Linked DNA regions of Tamandua tetradactyla. The protein of the gene in region 2 purifies or fractionates together with the protein of the main gene of each other region. This does not show direct contact. Links are inferred from orthologs where the notes say so. Each region holds a gene or a part of one and is shown on either strand. Other genes may lie near its edges.

Region 1 (8,916 bases), on a different chromosome or scaffold from region 2:
GAATAATGTCTATTGTATCCAATGATCAGAGTTCAAAACAACCCAGAAAATTGCAATTTAAAGCTTTTGTCAATTTAGAAACCTCTAGAGAACTGAAGTACTCTTAATAATGCCAAAGCAATCAGGTTTTTTTGCTCTGGACAGCACAATAGGAAATGACTGTCTTGGTTTTAGGCACTTAAAGTTTCCCACATTTGTACAAGACAGGAAAATATAATACAGAGAATGAATGCAGGAGTTCTGGGATGGTCAAGCCTGGGTTGGAATCCTGACTTCACCCCAAAGACATGTTTTTAACCTTCAGTTTCAGTTTCTTAAAAAAATGTAAACTCTTCTTCAAAAAGTTATTCTAAGGATTATTCATGAGATAATTCACTTAGCACTGTGAGTTAAAGGCAAAAGTTACTAGAATGGGAGGAAATAAAGGAGCAACAATAAAGCCTTTTATCTATCCAGTGCTTTGTCTGCAGAAGAGGGAAAAGCAAAGTGTTGTCTGTTGGCCAATTTACTGCTCTGTGTTAGTAATGGATTTTCCTAATGCCCTTTCCCTCTGATCATTAATAATCCTTGTACAGTAAAGGGCTATTGTTCTTTAGTATGAGTAAATAGCCCTATTGCAGGCACTGTTTTATCTTCAGACTACAGCTCATGCTTCTTACTGGAAATACAATGCAGGTGCCAACACCAAAAGCATCATCACACTTCCCTATTTTCTTTCCTTTATCTCTTACTCCTCCCTTATTCTGTGGTGTGCTTCCCCCCCAGATCTGATACACTCATTACTTTTTAGCATACAACCTGTATCCTATATTGCGTCATCTTTATCCAAAGCGAACAATGTTCCCGTTAAACGGCATCTCACATATCCCTGTTTTCTTTACCCCCTCTTCCCATCCCTATCAATTAACATGTGCAACACACACACACACACCATAGGCTTGTTTCCTGTCTTGGATTCAATTATTGGTTCCTAGAATATAAAAAGGGAAGTGTTGCCACACAGTATTTTGCAAATCTCAGAATATGCTGTGTGGACTTAATCATACCACAGCTATTCTCTGAAACAGCATCTTTTTACACAGAAAGTGACAAGAATAGGGTGTGTCAGAGACAGGGGGCAGTGAGGAAAGGGTAGATTGTATTTTTATTTCACTTAAAAGAAAAGAAATTAGGTTAGGCTCTGTGAAAAGGGAAATCTTCAGAATACAGGGAAAAACAAAATATTTTCATGTCTGACAGACTGCTAAAATAACTATTCCAAACAAGAGCATATGAGGGAAGTACACCCATTCTAAATATACCATGTCAGTAACTGAAGCAGACGCAAGATTACACTTGGGTAGGGGAAACTCCAATAAAGCTACTGTAACCAGGAAAGAACAGCTATTTCTTCCCTCAGGGATAGAAATACTGAATGGAAACCAAGATTCGGTCTCTCAATTTTAAAAAGTAATGGAAATATCTGTTTCCTTATCAGTATATTTTAAAAGACAAAGGTCAGGGAAGGGTCAGTGGATGGTGAGAAGTAGAAGACAGCCTAAGAGGTTTATGGGAGGGGCTGGAAAAAAAGAGGAAATGGAGGCCAACCCCACTCCTTGGTTCATAACTACTAAGCTGGGATCTCTGACCCTCCACAGGATCTAGGAAAGTCAGAGAGGACAAAAAATGAATATCCCCCCTCACCCCCATCCTTCTCTTTAATCATTAACAGCCCTGGAACTAAGGGGCTCAGACAAGAGTGCACCTTTGCTGTGAACAAAAATCATCTGTGCCTGAACTAATAGGACTGGAGGTTTTGCCTGGGTCCTGTATAGGTGACAAATCAAACATTGCTTCTATTCTCCAGGGACTTAGTCTAGTGAAGAGCTTCAGTGCCTCTGCAGGTGAGAATAGTTGCTTAATAATTATTTGATAGGTAGAAGGTACTTGGAAGCTGTTATGAAGGCAAGGACCCCTGCACAGAGAACCGTTATTTATCAAATACTTACATTGAGGGTCAAGTGCTAGAAAGTCACTCCAGCAGCTTGTAGAGTTAGAACTGAAGCCCTTTTGACATTTCATATTCCAATTCCTTAAAATTGCACAGAATGACTAGCACCCAGGACTTAGAGGTCCTCTGGCACAGTTTTGGCCAAAAGAACTTACGACGGTAGCTATTGGGTACTTGTGGTTAGTGCATCTAAAGAACTGAATTTTAAATTTTATTTAATTGTTAAATTTAAATAGTCACAGGCTGCTGGGGGCTACATATCAGACAACACAGCTCTAGACCAAGGGATACAATTCAAAATACCCATTGAGTCTCTGGACCAGATAAGTCCTCAAATGCAGAAGGGCCAGCCTCTTCAGAACATCAACACATCAACTAGTTCCGTCCCCCTATTCCATATTATTGGACAGTTCCTTCCAACCTGAAAAAGTTAGAATGGGCATAGCTCAAATACCCCTAAAGAGCTGGAGAAAGATCAAAGGTGATGGTGGAGTTATACAGAGAAGTTAGGGTTTAACAAATGGGTATGAATCATTATACTGATATTTCTTTTATTCTCCAATATATTAAAGCAGCTAGAAGTAAAAACCTAAAATTGTGGAATGGTAACCCATATCAAACTCTGAAATCTGATCTACAACTAATTGTTGCAATGTACTTTGACATTTATTGCTTTTTTTGTATATGCTGTTTATCACAATAAAGAAAAAAAAGTTTATTGTGATGATAAATGCAGTTATATGATACTGTGAACCACTTATTGTACACTTTGGATGATTACATGGTATGTGAATATATAATATGTATCAATTTTAAAAAGAGCTATTTAAAAAAATGACCCCAGCGGTTTTTTGACTGACTACATAAATCTCTTTTCTTTGAAAAATAAAAAAAAATCACCCATAGGGCCAGTTGGTAAGTTACTGCAAACTCAAGAATGAGTCACGTGCAAGTGGGGAAGTAGTTCATTTGATGTGTAGGAGCCTCATGCCTGTTGCTGCCAGATTGATTTTTCAAAAGAGGCTGAAAATCCGGACTTTGATGTCCAATTTTTTAAAGTTGGCAAGTAAATTACAAAGAATTGTAATCACTTTGTGGGCTGAACAATGTTTGTGGGCAGAACCTGTCTTGCGAGTCTGCAATCTCTAACATAGGCCAACTCCATCAGCTCAAAGAATGGTAAGGCCATTCTTTTAGCTGGTCTTCTGATAGACACCCTTTCCCATTATCTCATGAGATTGGCTATATCTAGATTGTGATGGTGGTGATAGTGGCAGCAGTGGCAGGGACAAAAACCCCTTTATCAGAAGCTGTCAAATTCCATGGCTGATAATTTATGAATGCAGAGTTCTTAACTGTTTTGTTCCTACCAAGCTACAGCCACATGATGTACAAGGCTCTGTATCCTTAGGGGCCAGCAGGACACAAAGACAGTTCCTGTTCTCAAAGAGCTTAGGGTCCATGGGGGAGACAGACATATAAACAAATAATATGTAAAGTCAGGCTTGCTATAATGGAGGCAATTACCTGTGCAGAAGTCCAAAAGCACTGACACCTGGGAGAGGAAGAGAGGACAGAGACTTGAGGCAGACCTTAGAGGATGAGTAGAATCTGGTCAGTCAGGGGATGTTTCACTGATTAGAAGGATGGGTCCCATTATTCCAGGATTTGAAGGGGTCTTCCTCTTGTACTTGAGGCCTTGTCTGCATCAAAGTCTCCTTTTCTGGCTTCTTTTACTCCGTGTAACCTCTAAATGCTGAGAATCCAGGAAATTTAGCCTGGGCTTTCCTCTTTTCTTTGCCTCTTTCTAGATGATCTATACTGACAACCCCCACATTTGTAATCTCCAACTATGACTTTTCCCCTAATTTGTATATCTAATTTCTTAACATTTTCTCTTTGATGGCTAGTGGACTTATCAAACTGTGATACATGAATCCAAAGATTGACTCCCTGGCATGTCACTGCTGTAGTTGTACTCCAGTAAAACCTAATATATTCAAAAGAGAACTTGTAATATTCTTTTCCAAACTGTTTTCTTTCTGGTCTTCCCCAATAGGAATCATTCTTGATGTTTCCTTCTCCCATACACCTTAAGTCCAATTTGGCAGCAAATCCTGCAAGCTTTACCTCCAAAACATATTCTCAATATAATGCTATTTCTACATGACCAGTATCACCTCTCCCTAGGCCCACTGCAACCGCCTCCCAACAGGTCTGACTGTTACCACCCTTCTCTATCCAGCAGCCGGAGTGATGCTTTAAAGATTTAAACCTGGTCTCTCCCCTTACCGTGGCCTAAAAAGCCTGGCTACTTCATCACAGACCACAATGCCCCTTGCTTTCTGCTTCAACCACAAAACCTTCCCGACTCCAATTCCTTCCTTAGAACTTTTCTGCTGGCTCGAGTCTCCATGTAGAGAGCTTTTCTCCTGTCTTTCCACTGCTCTCATTCTGGGCAAAAGCGTCGCCTGCTCTGAACAACCTTAACTGATTTAGAGTAGGCCTTTACCCTTTTGTCATTTCACTCGGTATTACTGTTTTGGGGGACATTTCTCACTTGCTGATATCTTGTTTATTGATTTACATGTTAACTCTCTTACTCGAATGGAAAGTCATGGATCAAGGCTTTTGTCTTGTTCTTAGGTTTGTGCTGGAGGAAACTATGAAGCTGGTGCTCACTTGTCCTAGAATGTTTCTGCTCCTCTACGGGGCCTCGTTTAGGTCAACTTTCCCTAGCCAGACACCTCCTGCTCCCAGCACGCTGGGAAGGGAATCGCCCCTACATCTGTCATTTATATTCAGTAATCTAAAAGATTCAGAAGTTTCAGATGAGCCCCAAACCAGGCCTCCCCTTCCTGGCCCACTGAGGCAGTTTCCCAAGGCCAGAGGCGATGACACCCAGCCGCCCCCGCGAGGCTGGGGTCACACAAGCGAGTCTCCTAGCAACGCCGCGTCCCCACCCCCAACCCATCCCTAACCCCGGGAAGCCACCTCCTTCCCCCAGTGTCCCGCTCCTGGAGTCAGCATCTCCATCCCCTACACTCACTCTGCGTCAGTCCTGCCTTTCCCCCACCCACAGAAGTGCCAAAGCCCCCGGCGGGCTGCGAAGAGGCCGCGCCGAGAGCCCAGTAGAGCACGGTGGACAGAGCTCTGGCACGTCCGGTAGGCCAAGTCGGACCAAACCAGTTGGCGGACCTCTGTGGGAGCATACTCCCACCTCAGGATTAGTTTCAATCCTCCGTGAACTTCTAACTTTACCCCACCCTCAGACTTATACTCAACAATATAGCCAACCTTATCCTCTCCCTATTTTTCTCTTGACCTCTTTCGCCATCCTTTTCCCTTCCCCCCCTTCCAGCTAAAAGAGTGGTCCAGTCCAGCTCCTCCTAGCCCTCTCTCCTCGCGGCTAGGTCTTTACCCTTACTTGGCGACGGCTTCGTACGTCGCTGCGTACGTCATGACGCAACCTTCCACCCTCCCCGCCCCTCTCCTCTCTATTCTCCCTCCTGGAACCGGCAGCCGGTGGGGTTACCGGAAGTGATGATGCAGGAGGCGATGGAGGGGGCGGGGCCTCAGGGCGGCCGCCGCCGGTGGGCCGCAGATGAAGAGGAGGCGGTGGCAGTGTGGAAGAAGAGGCGGCGGCGGTGGGGGTAGGGAGCCTGGGAACGCAAGCGGGTATGGTAGGTGGCTTGGGCCCGCCGGGCCGCCGTCGTTTCCAGAAAGGGTTTGACTGGAGGAACCTCTGGAGCAGCTGTGAGTTTGAGGGGAGTGAGGAAAAGGGGGGAGCGTTGAGAACTGAAGGGGCGGGGGTTGGGTACCATCGAGAAGGGGGTGGTAGTGGTGGAAGGGGAGGAGTGGAAATCAGTGCCTGGTCCGGACTGGTCTCTCTGGAAGAAGAGGCTGTGAGGGGAGCCTGTGGCGTGTCAGCCGCAGAGCTCAGAAAACTTACCTACTGTCCCTATCTCCCTACCGCCAGTACCCCTCAACCCAGTGCTTGGGAATCCGGGGCCGGAGCTGCCCCGAAGGAGGTGCAGACTGGTCCTGTGCCCCGGGTAAGTCCTGAGAGATGGTGGGTGAGTCTCCCGCTCCCTCCGCCCTCATTTTCCTCCCCACCCCCATCCTTCTCTTTAATCATTAACAGCCCTGGAATTAAGGGGCTCAGACCTGAAGACCTGTCTGTACACCTTTGCTATGAACGATAACCATCTGTGCCTGAGGTTAATAGCACTGGAGGTTTTGCCTGTATCCTGTTTAGGAAGTGGACAGGGTGACAAATATTTTTTCCACTCCTCTCACCCCTTCTCCTCCCCTTCGTTTCCACTTTAATTCACTGTGGCTGGGTGGCAATCGTATTTGTTGTTGTTGTTGTTGTTTAACTGGCACTTAATGTCTTGGTTACTTCTTTTAAATTTGGTGTTCAGCCCCTACCCCAGCTCTTAACTGCAAGCTTTGTTATACTTCAGTTAATAGTTTTCACATTGGGAGTACCTCTCAATGCCTGGTAGGTCCCGATTATAACGAGCATTTTCTTCTATGAATACTGGAATTCCAAAGCCCTGCAAGGATTCCTAAATGGTATTATAGTCCAGGAATCAAGGTCTCTTGCCTTGAATAGTTTGTGTGGGAAATTTACATGTGATCAATTCTTTACAAAATGATTTGATGTTGGTCTAATTCTGGTTTTCTGTGTTTCTCTCCACCCACACTTGATTATGCACTTCAGAGAATAGAAAAACCCCATATTACTTTTTTGTTTCCACAATTGGACAGTAGCACTTTTATCTCTCCATAAGTGTGTCTGGCACACGAGTGTCCAGTGATACTTGACTTTGCTGCTTCCCATCATATTTAGCTGATTTTTGTGTATACGGTGGTCTTAAATGAGAAGGTATGATTTGTTTAGTTTTGTTTTAAAGAAGACTAAAATTAGTGAAAAGTTGTTTTCAGAAAACAAAGAATGATTGGAGAGAAGGTCTCTTTGTTGATATTGTTGGTTTAAAAAATATCACCAAGTAACTCCTCTATCCTGTCATACATATTTCATAGTGAAGCATAATTCCTGTTTTGGCGTTATTTTCTTTGGAAATCCTCTGTGTAGTCTGGAACTGTGCTTTCTGAAGAACTTTAAAAAAAGTGCTCGAATTTTAGGGGTCTTTTGATTAGCACGTGTCCATAAATTCTCCTTCTGTATAACTGACTTTGATGTGTGTATGGCTAGAAGTATTATTTTAGTGGGATTCTGATGCTGTGAACCCTCTCCCCCCCCCCCAACTTATCAGTGATCACAGGCCTTGACAGAACAGAATGTTTAGTGCCTGGTATTGTGCAAAAACAATGTGGTTGTTAGTTGTTAGAAAAGAATGACGAGTTGAACTGAACTAATTGATTGGTAACCATGTTTGCCATTGAATAAAAAGGCCAATGTTCATTCATTCAACAACAAACATTTATTGAATGAATACTGAGTGCTAGCCTATTTATGCACTGGGCATACACAGCAAAAGTTCCTTGCTCTCATGGAACTTATATGGGATGGGAGGGATAGGGCTGGACAGACAATAAATAAATAAATAAATCAGATTTTGATAAGTGCTGAATGAAATAAAAGTGATGTGATAGAAAGTGTCTGAAAAGGATGTAGTCAAGGAAGACCTTTCCTAGGAGGTGATATCTAAGTAAGCTTTAAATTTAAAGGAGCCAGCCGTGCATGGATAAGGGGAAGAGCCTTCCAGGTTGAGGGAACAGCTAGTGCAAAAACTGGCTGGAATGAGGTTGTCATAATCCAGAGACTGGGGAAAGGGGGTGTGAGTGAGATGGGGGATGGGGAGATGAGGAAGGAGGTGGCAGTAATAGTCAAAGCTTGGTGAGCAAAGGGAAAGAATGAAAAGAGACAAGGTCTGAGAGGTGAGGATGGGGCTCAGAATAGCTTGGCAAAATAAAGAGCAAGCAGGGGAAGGAAGTAGAAAATTGATGGTCCTTTTTGATTAATTCTATCAGTTTTCCTAGAGTCTTACTGCTTACTTTTTTTGCAGGTACTATTATTAGTCTATTGTAATAAAAAGTCACCCTGCTGAGAGTGGGAGAGGGAAAGGCATTGGTCACCTGGTTTTCTTCTGGCAGATAAACCTATTTTTGAAGACCTATGTGTTCAAAATTCAGTGGCATGTTCGATTGAGGGCATACCTTTTTTCATTAAGGGATTATGTATTATATGCTGTTATTTTAAATCGCATAGTAAATATTCTGAATTTGTTGTAGTATAGGAATCCTCCTTTTCTTTCAGTTCTGTGTGAATTTAGGGTTGAAGGATTGGGCAGGTGATAATAATTTGCCCTTCTTGGTCTACAAAGATGACCATCAGGATCTAAGTTTGAAGTTTTTTTTTGTAGGAAGGCAGTTCTTGCATAACAGCTCACTCTGGTCTGGTCCTTCTGATGACATACAGTATTCTGAGGAGGTGTATGTTGATGCTAGCAGTTTACTCAGGATTACATTAGGTAAATGGCCATTATAGGGCTAAATTCCACCACGTTGGCATCTTTGGGCTGTGCTGTAACCAAGGGATGTAACTTATTTTTGCCTTTAGTTGTGGCCATTCATCTTAAATTGTCCTCAGCTTTTCAGCTTCACCTTAACCAGATTGTCCACTTAGCAGAGGCCCAATCAAGATTTCTTATTATTTTGGCTCTCTTGGGCCATGACACAGTAGGTCAAAGCAGAAAGGATTTGCTATTTTTTTTGAACTTACAGCAGTGACTAGTGTGTTCTTTGGGGAATTGGCTCTTTGAGCCAGAGGATTGAGAGACTTAAATGTTATTTGTAGTAAATGTAGTATTAGAAAGAAAAAGTCTGGTATTTTAGTAGCTTCTGTGGATGGAGTGTTAGAACTAGGGCAGTTTGGGATAATCCAACTTGAATGCAAA
Region 2 (8,777 bases):
ACTGACGGAAGTACGTCTTTTGAGAAGGAAGTGATGAGAAGCAGTGTTTTAAGATAATGTTCTCAAACAATTTTTTTCTTCATTTCTCTTCCAAAAGTTTACTGAACTGACATAATTTAAAAAGTAATAGTAATTTTTCAAAAGACCAAGGACAGTAGCTGATAGGCACTATCCTGGCATAAAGGAAACACAAACGCCCTCTCTTGGAGTCCCTAACCTTGACATTTCTCATTCTATTGTTTCCCCATTTCTCCTAAATCCTAATAGCTCACCTTTGAAGAATGTAGAATATAAAGCACGAAAGAAAAGGGATACTGTGCAATTTTTTCAATAAACTAAGACTATAATTTAAATCCTATAAAAGGAATCTTCAAGAATGCTGAAATGTCAAAATTCTGAACCTTGGGCCCATTTCTTTACATTTTCTCTTAATGGACTATGTAGATACCTAAATAGGGACCTAAAATTGGAGACACATAAGAGATCTTCTGTAATTCCATTGTGCAATCTTTTCAGAAATGACAATTTAATCCCAAATTAGGTAATGTGCCCAGGATCTCACAGATAGTTCATGTCTGCGTTGAGTAGGTCCAATTCTCTGTCATGAGGACCATTTTTTCTTCTTTTGGGAAGCACTATTCTTTTCCTCCCCTTAGCACAAAGAAGATCGTTCTGTACAATGTTAGGCATTCCATAATGTTAGTTTACTCTGGTCATCAAGACCCTCTGTCATAAAGTATTTTAACACATATAGTGACAAATTGTGATGTCTACACCAAATAAATAAATACGTCACTTATGAAAAAAATGTTAAAACAAATGCCTGTACTGAAATTATGCAGAAAATCCTAGAAATACTTGTCTTTAAATGTTCACCATTTTAGTTTATCCTTAAATGTCTGTAGTTTAATATACACAGCACTTTAATTCCAATGATTTGTCTGTTAAATGAATGGCTAGAGTTTTTTTTAAAGTCTTTTAAAAAGTGTTAATAAAAATGATAATGATGCCAAATTACTGGAAGTTATTTACCTTTCCTAAAAACATTTTCTACAATATTCAGCAACTCTTCGAAATATGTCGATATAATTTTAGATGAATAACATATCTTCTAAGAAATGTTTTGAATCATTAAAGCCCAGATTGGGTGATAAACCATTTTAATTTTAGCACTGACTATAATATAACTTAGTATCAGAGGATTAATATTTTTTCATAGAGTTTATAAAATAAAAACAAGCATGTATAAATCTTTACCTGAAGTTTAAGAAGTTATTTAAAGAAGCTTCCCAGTACATAATCACCTATGCAGTATCACCCCATCATGTAATTTCTTTAGTCTTTCTAAGCAAGTTACCAAATACTTGACTACCTTTCTACAGAAACTGACTATAATCAGGATGAAACTTAGCTCTTTTACAGGCTGAGCCAAACTGACAGAAAACGGTGGAAAATCACACCACATATGTTAAATAAATTAGTTATATACGTTCTGTGCAAATGTTTATTTAGATAGGGAGCAAGAAAAACTCCGAAGGAAATCAAACAGCATTTTAATATTTTTTTAAAAAACTTATCTTTCTCCCTTTAGGCTTCTGCTGTAGAGCTACACATATCTAATATTACAAAATAATCAAGTCACTTCCAAATAGTCAAAGCACTAAAATATTTAGTATTAGCAAACGAGTCTTCCCAAGTTTCAAATACAATACTTAAAAAATTTCAGTTAGCCAAACTCTTTAAAAACCATATTTGATTTTGAAGCCACAGAACCAAACTGTATGAACTTCTTTGGTCACTTTACTACACCAGTTCATCAATTTAATTAGGAACGCAATCACTGCTTTTTTTCACGGTTCTACTTGAACAAAACAGAAAATTTCCTTCCTTTGGATAAGATTTAAGCATGTTTCAGGTATATGCTCTTCAGCCATAATATTTAATTGGAGATAGTTTTTCTTTCTTTTAAAATGCACGCAAATTACGACAACCAAGTACTGTGAGAACAAAACTTAAAGGATTAAAAAAATAAAAAACTCTTTTAGATTGAATTATTTAGTAACTAATTTATGAGCGGATGGGAGGTGGAAAGAAAGGAATGTAACAATTAATGGAGGGCAAGAAAGACACCAAGGTAACCGGGAATATTCTTCAACATGCATTTTATCAAGAATTTGGAACCGACAGTTCTAGTTCCCTGGAACAGAACCTCTATAATAAAATTTCATATTCACCAACCTCATATAAGAAAACCCCTCTTTTTTCAAAAAGACCCATTTGCTTGGTTTACTTTTCTGTTTAGGGTTCAGCAATACACCCATTCGGCAGTGATATTGGATATAAATATACTCTACTGAAAACCCAAGTTCAGGCTGAGGTTTAACCTGACAAGGGAAACTGACAGAGATGCTGGCGGGAAAACCTTACAAGCAAAGTTTCCTCTACCCTGGATCCCCTCCCCTCTCTTTACACCTTCTCCGAGAGAGATAATCTAAAGAATATGTATGTAACTCAATCCTCGGAGAACTTAAAAAAGTTCATCTTTCAAGCTGAATTAGCCAGTCCATTCACACCTCCGAGAAGGGAGTCTGCTGCTGGGTCCCCGAGCCGGCAATAGCAAGGGCCCAAGCGGGCTGATCGGCCTAGCGCCTCCGGCAGGCCGGCGGATAGGCCAGGCTGCCCAGTCTCCAGGCCTAGCACTCCCCTTCCCCAACAATAGCAGGTGTCTTCACCCCTTCACGCTACCTGGGACGTGAGAATTACGTCTCGGAGACAGGAAATGCGGTAGGGACGACTGAGGACGTACAGTGAAGGGACCTAGGGCCAGAACGGACAACGGCCTAAAGGAAAAGTGGGGGAGTGAAGTGACGGGGGGCATTCGGAAGGAAAGGGCCGGATAGGATCAGTGAGTGGGTAGGCTGCCGACTTAGGGGAAAACGAGGAAACAGGTTATGCCCCAAAAGGTGCGGCAAGACCAGCGCAGAAGGCCAAGGTCTCGAATGAGGGCCCTTGAGATGGGCTTAGAGACGGATTTCGGACTCACCTGAAGTCCTTGTCGCTGGATGTCATTTTCTCCAACAAATTGGAAATATGGTACGAGGCGCTCGCCATGTTGACGGCCTCGATCCCGCCCGCCGCCGCTGCTGCTGCTGGGGCTCCTCCTTTCGCTCGCGGCGGTTCCCGCTCCCAGGGTCGCAACGCGACGCCGACGCTGACTAGGGAGGCGCCTAGGAAGGCTACCCCCTCCCCGGCGAAGCGTGGGCCTGTCCCGAGGGAAGCAAAGGATACGGTGCCGACCTAACGACGGCGCTGCTCGCGGGAGGACGAGGCCATGAGAGGCGGGGAAATACAGCAAGGCCGCTCCAGAGATCCAGACACTTCCACTGAGGCCTGCCTGGCTCTCACTCTGCGAATTCGCTCCGTGGAGCAAGCGGCCAAAACCCGCCTCCTTTCCAGCGGGGGCGGGAGTGACAGACGCGGGACGCTACGGAAAGCCCGGGTCAAGGTTCACGTAGGCCCCTCCACGCACGCTTCAGAGACGCTAGTTAAAGGGCACTCCTATTGGCTGATGTCTAAGTCAGTCTTCGCTTGAACGGCCTTTTTGGAGGCATGACTACGAGCAAACTGGGATGTTCTCGCGATACTTTAAAGCAACGGTTAAAGGAGAGAGGCGAGCACTACTCTGAAAATAATTTGAAGACTGTTTGTGTATGGCATTAAGAAAATAAAGTTTACGATTTTTAAGGATCATAAGATTTGAGATTAGTGCTAGTTAAGATATTAGCCTCGATAAGAACAAAAGAATTATTAGCGGGAGCTCTCCTTTCGATTTGACGCGTGGCCTTTCATCGTGGTGTAATAATGCCACGTGAAAACCACAAATCCCAGAATTCAGTCGGGGTAGCACTGGGTCAGAGTGTCATTGGCTGCAGGAACTTATAGCGTCCTAATTGGGTTCCGTGGGAGGAGTAACTGCTGGGATTTGCAGTCTGGCAAGGCAGCAGTGCTAGATGGAATCTTTGAATCACCACGTGCTGGGTTTTTGCGGCTAATTCGGGTTTCTCCTAACAGACTTTCTTGTTTAGGGATGTTTGCAGAATTGGCTGTAGCAGTTTGGGAAGGGGCATTACGGATTCATGAATCCTGGTATTCTTAGCAGAGGCCTTTAGCGACTAACAATATCCTCATCCTCAAAAGGCCACTGAGCCCGCCAGCTCGCCCTCCTTGCCTGCTGGACACACTGACCTCTTGCCATCGTGGAGCACCTCCCTACAGCAAGCAGGACCGTATTAAAACTAATGGGCCAACGACAGGTGATTGTATTCGAAGCCTACCCGTTTTTTTCAGAACAGCTAAAAGACTACCTTCTATAGTCAGTTGTTATATAGTTGATAATCCTGCAGCTGTGTATTTTATTGTCCCCCAAATATACACAAAAAGCCTTCGGAGATTAGATATTCAAATCATTTGTTTTATTATCCAAGTTTTTATCTACTTAATACTTTGGATTTTGAGATAAATTTTGTCACCAAGAGATAAACACCTAAAACTTTGTTATGGATTTGAGGTAGGTAGAATTGGAGCTAGCTGACACACTTTTCTAAAAGAAAAAGTAGAGAGGGCAGTGAAGGGAGAAGGAAAATGATGTCTCGTTGTTTCTCCTCTTGTTTAAAAAAAAAAGCCTTTAAATAGCTCCCTACTTCTAAGTACGTCAAAACAAATAAAATCTACCATTTCTTTATCTTTCTTTCAACTACATTCGTTAAATATTATTGTTTCTAAAAGCCAGGTACTGTTATAGGCAATGACAGTTAACACAACATAGGAAATCTGATCTGGCCTCACATTATATACCTAAATTCCTCTCATTACCCTTTGTCTATCCCCATGTATGTTTTTACTTTAATACTATTTTCCTCCCCGGTGATACCATAGCTCTTTCCTCATTTTACTTAGGTCTACCATCATTAGGACTTCTTTAATGAAACATTTCCTGAGTGCTCCAGCCAAATTAATTCCCTTCTGCTCTGAACAGTCCTTAATAATATACTAAACAATATTAATAATTACAATATTAATAATATTAAACAATAGTAATAATATTGAACAGTCAAATAATATTTAATAAGCTGTACATACACATCACACGCACAAACAGGCCATTTTTCTTGTGTGGACTCCAAGGCTTAAAATCTTAGGCATCTGGTGGTAACCCTTTTAACCTATATCCAATCAGACACAAGTCATCTTTTGTCCTTTTTCATGTGTAAATCCTTGCATTTATCAGTTTCCATCTGAAATATATTTGGAGTCAGAGAACTTAAATATAAATATTTGTGCCGATTGGTTGCTATTTTAGGTAGTTCATTTTAATCTCTCTGAGCCCTCAGTATCTTCAAGCTAAGGAAATGATTGGGCAATTAATCTTCAGGGCTGGGGGTTTTTTGTTTTTTTGGCATTTGAAGGCTCTGGAAATCCAACCGCATCTCCGTCATGACAGGAGAGAATTCTACCACTGAGCTCCCTTGCACCCCCCTTTCAGAGCTATTTTAAGAGTTAAATAAGATATCCCATATAAGTCCTTAGCATTTGACCTGGAACACAATAATAATATTTATACCTAATACATCTTGCACACTTAGAAAGGTACAGAAAAACATCTAATAAAAGTTAGCTATCATTATTATATTCTTTCAGGCTTTTGTTCCTATTCCCAAACCATTCTACACAGCCAGTTTAGGGTTGTCCAAAACGTTTTTGTAGTGTTACCTATTTAACACATTATATCTTTCTACTGCAGAATAAAGTCCATATGTTTTAGCAATCAGTGCCTCCATCTGACCCTAATCATTTATATTTTACCTTTCTCCCATTATTCTAATACAAGAATTGCCCCCACCAGCTTTTTATTTTTTATTTTATCTTTTTGTTTTTGTTTGTTTTGAGTCCCTCTAAAGACCCAACTACAAGTCTTCGGTACATAGTTATAATAAAAAAAGTTATGGATCAAGCACTGTATTAATTTATTTAATCCTCAGAACAACTCTATGAAATTATACATTTTAAGTATAAAGGCATAAGTATCAGGCATGAAGAGGTTAAGTAACTTACTAAAAGTCACCAACAAGGTTCAATTAGAATTCAAAACTAAGCAATGTTGCTTCATAGCTCAAACTTCGAACTGCTACTCTAGAATTCTTCTCCCAGCCTGGAAGGCGTTCCCTCTCCTCTATCCCTCTTTTTACGGTCTTGAACCAATCACAGTGTTTATAAGTTCACTACCACTAAAGCATAAGTTCTTTAAGAGTGTGTACCATCTTTTCCCTTTTGGGGAATGGTGAGAAAAGAGGGAAATATTCAACTTCCCTATTTGGAGAATTTCTGATATTCTCGCAAGCAGTGGGAACAACCAAATCAATAGGCGGAGCCCTGGATCTTGTTGTTTGCCCCTATGAAACTTATCCCTGCAAAGGATAGGCTAAACCTACTTAAAATTAGGCCTAAGAGAGGATACATAGGTAGTTTAGTAGTTAGAATGCCTGCCTTCCATGTGGGAAACTCGGGTTAGATTCCCAGACCATGCACCCCAGAAAAAAAAAAAAGTAAAAATTAAAAAATTAGACCTAAGAGTCACTCTCAGAGAACCTCTTTTGCTGCTCGAATGTGGCCTCTCTCTCTAAGCCCACACAGCAAACGAACTCAGTCTTCCCCCTCTACATGGAACATGACTCCCAGGGATCAATCCTCCCTGATAACATGGGACAGAAATCCTGGGATGAGCTGGGACTCAGCATCAAGGGATTGAGAAAACCTTCTCGACCAAAAAGAAGAAGAGAGAAATGAGACAAAATAAACTCAGTGGCTAAGAATTTCAAGCAGAGTTGAGAGGTTATCCTGGAGGTTATCATTATGCATTATATAGATATCCCCTTTTTAGTTCATCATGTATTAGAGAGGCTAGAGAGAAGTGCCTGAAAATGTAGAGCTGTGTTCCAGTAGCCATGTTTCTTGAAGATGATTGTATAATGATATAGCTTTTACAGTGTAACTGTGTGATTGTGAAAACCTTGTGTCTGAAGCTCCTTTTATTTACAGTATGGATAGATGAGTGAAAAATCTGAATAAAAAATAAATAATAGAGGGAACAAAGGTTAAAATAAATTGAGTAGATTGAAATACTAGTGGTCAATGAAAGGAAGGGGTAAGGGGTATGGTATGTATGAGTTTTTTCTTTTTTCTTTTTTCTTTCTTTTGCCGGAGAGATGCGATGTTCAAAAAAATGATCATGGTGATGAATACACAACTATGTGATAATATTGATCGTATACCATGTATAGAATGTTCTATGTCAACAATATTTATATGTTTGTTATTCTTTACAATTTAAAAAAAAAGAGTATGTACCATCTTTAAACCCCTTCTGCTTCTTTCAGGTACTTAGTTATGGCAAGTTTGTAATGGGCGCTAATAGTATTTAATTTTTTGTATTCTTGACCACTTAGAGATTTAATTTTTATATCACTTAATATAGAATGTTATTAAACAGTGGAGTAGTGCTTTCACTTAAGGATCTGTTAATGCTAAATTAATTTTAGGTACAAAAGGAAATAAGTCTGAATAAGGCTAACCTCCAAGAGTTTTTTTTCCAGTCAGTGGTCATAAAAGAAAATTAAGATGAGAGAGCAGGAAAAATTGAATCCTTCAAGATGTCGTGAGTTTCTTTTAATATTAAACAGTAGTTTGGCTTAGTTACAAACACTTACTGACTGCTGACACAATGCCAGGCACTGAACTGTACAGTAGGGATGTAAAGGTGAATAAGACATATTCCTTAACCTTGAAGACCTTTCATGTTGATCAAATCTTAAATTTCATATTAAAAAATTACTGTATTTTAGGCAAAACTAAGAAAAATTCTCACCCTAAGTATATAATCAGAATAGTTTTCTATTTATGTTCTATATTGAAAATAAGGAATAGATGTTAAATAGATGCATTGTATTTAAAATTTTAATTATGGTAGAATTGAGGTGAGATGAATATTAAGAAATACATATCCATAAAGAAAGGACAATGAAAATGTTATGTAATTGAGTCATTGAGTTATCTGAACTTGTTGGGTTACCAATTTGAAATGTTGTCTAGTTATTTTGTTTATTAGGTACCCTGTCAAATATTTTCCATTGCCTTTAGTGATATCTTAGACCCCCTAACTTTCTAGACCCTTCAGTGTTAAAAGTCCAATCCAGTTTAGTCCAAAGGCCAGCTAAATATCCCCTTCTACTTCTAGATCCTCTAAGGTTGAGGAGAATGGCAAAGGAAAAGATAAGAGATGAGGCAAATTTTCTTTATTTAATTGGTATAGTTACAGTTCTCTTTTGACTGTTTGCCTGACAGCTGAATGTGACTCTTTGGTAAGAGACAGCACTGTAAGTTACTTGAAGTATCTCACAGAGGCTTCACTATTGCACACTTCCCTGACATAACAGTTCTGAGTACCCTATAAGCCCTCCAGGTGGCAAACTCTAGAGGGCTCAAACCACCTTACTTTGCAGTTGTACACTGACCTGGCAGCCCATGCATCCTTGCCACTGCTACCTACATAGAGGGAATTTATTAGACTGTTGTTCTGCCGAGTCCCCTTTCTACCTGCCATTTCACTCCAGTTTTCTTCCACTGCTCAATTGGGCATAGATCAGCAAAAGACCAACCAAGGAAAAAAATAATCTAAAGTTACTGGGGTCCCAACATGAACTGTTTATTTCTGTATTGTTTTT

The links.
Region 1: the proteins of CAND1 (region 2) and DCUN1D3 purify together in Homo sapiens (affinity purification with western blotting; 3 studies listed by BioGRID, with this or other methods). This does not show direct contact. The link is inferred for Tamandua tetradactyla from reciprocal best matches to the Homo sapiens genes CAND1 and DCUN1D3.

The regions. Positions count from the first base shown.
Region 1 is NC_135349.1:36,581,917-36,590,832, forward strand, and holds the start of DCUN1D3 (DCN1-like protein 3), read left to right. Parts: upstream 1-4,938; 5' UTR 4,939-5,039; coding exon of another isoform or gene 5,040-5,202; exon of another isoform or gene 5,203-5,256; intron 5,257-5,287; exon of another isoform or gene 5,288-5,746; intron 5,747-5,969; 5' UTR 5,970-6,045; intron 6,046-8,916. Other genes in the region: LYRM1 (LYR motif-containing protein 1), read right to left, coding at 3,518-3,582, 5,040-5,202. UniProt on the Homo sapiens protein: Contributes to the neddylation of all cullins by transferring NEDD8 from N-terminally acetylated NEDD8-conjugating E2s enzyme to different cullin C-terminal domain-RBX complexes and may play a role in the cell cycle progression by regulating the SCF ubiquitin E3 ligase complex, after UV damage.
Region 2 is NC_135333.1:135,242,637-135,251,413, reverse strand, and holds the start of CAND1 (cullin-associated NEDD8-dissociated protein 1), read right to left. Parts: upstream 3,849-8,777; 5' UTR 3,112-3,848; coding exon 3,044-3,111; intron 1-3,043. UniProt on the Homo sapiens protein: Key assembly factor of SCF (SKP1-CUL1-F-box protein) E3 ubiquitin ligase complexes that promotes the exchange of the substrate-recognition F-box subunit in SCF complexes, thereby playing a key role in the cellular repertoire of SCF complexes.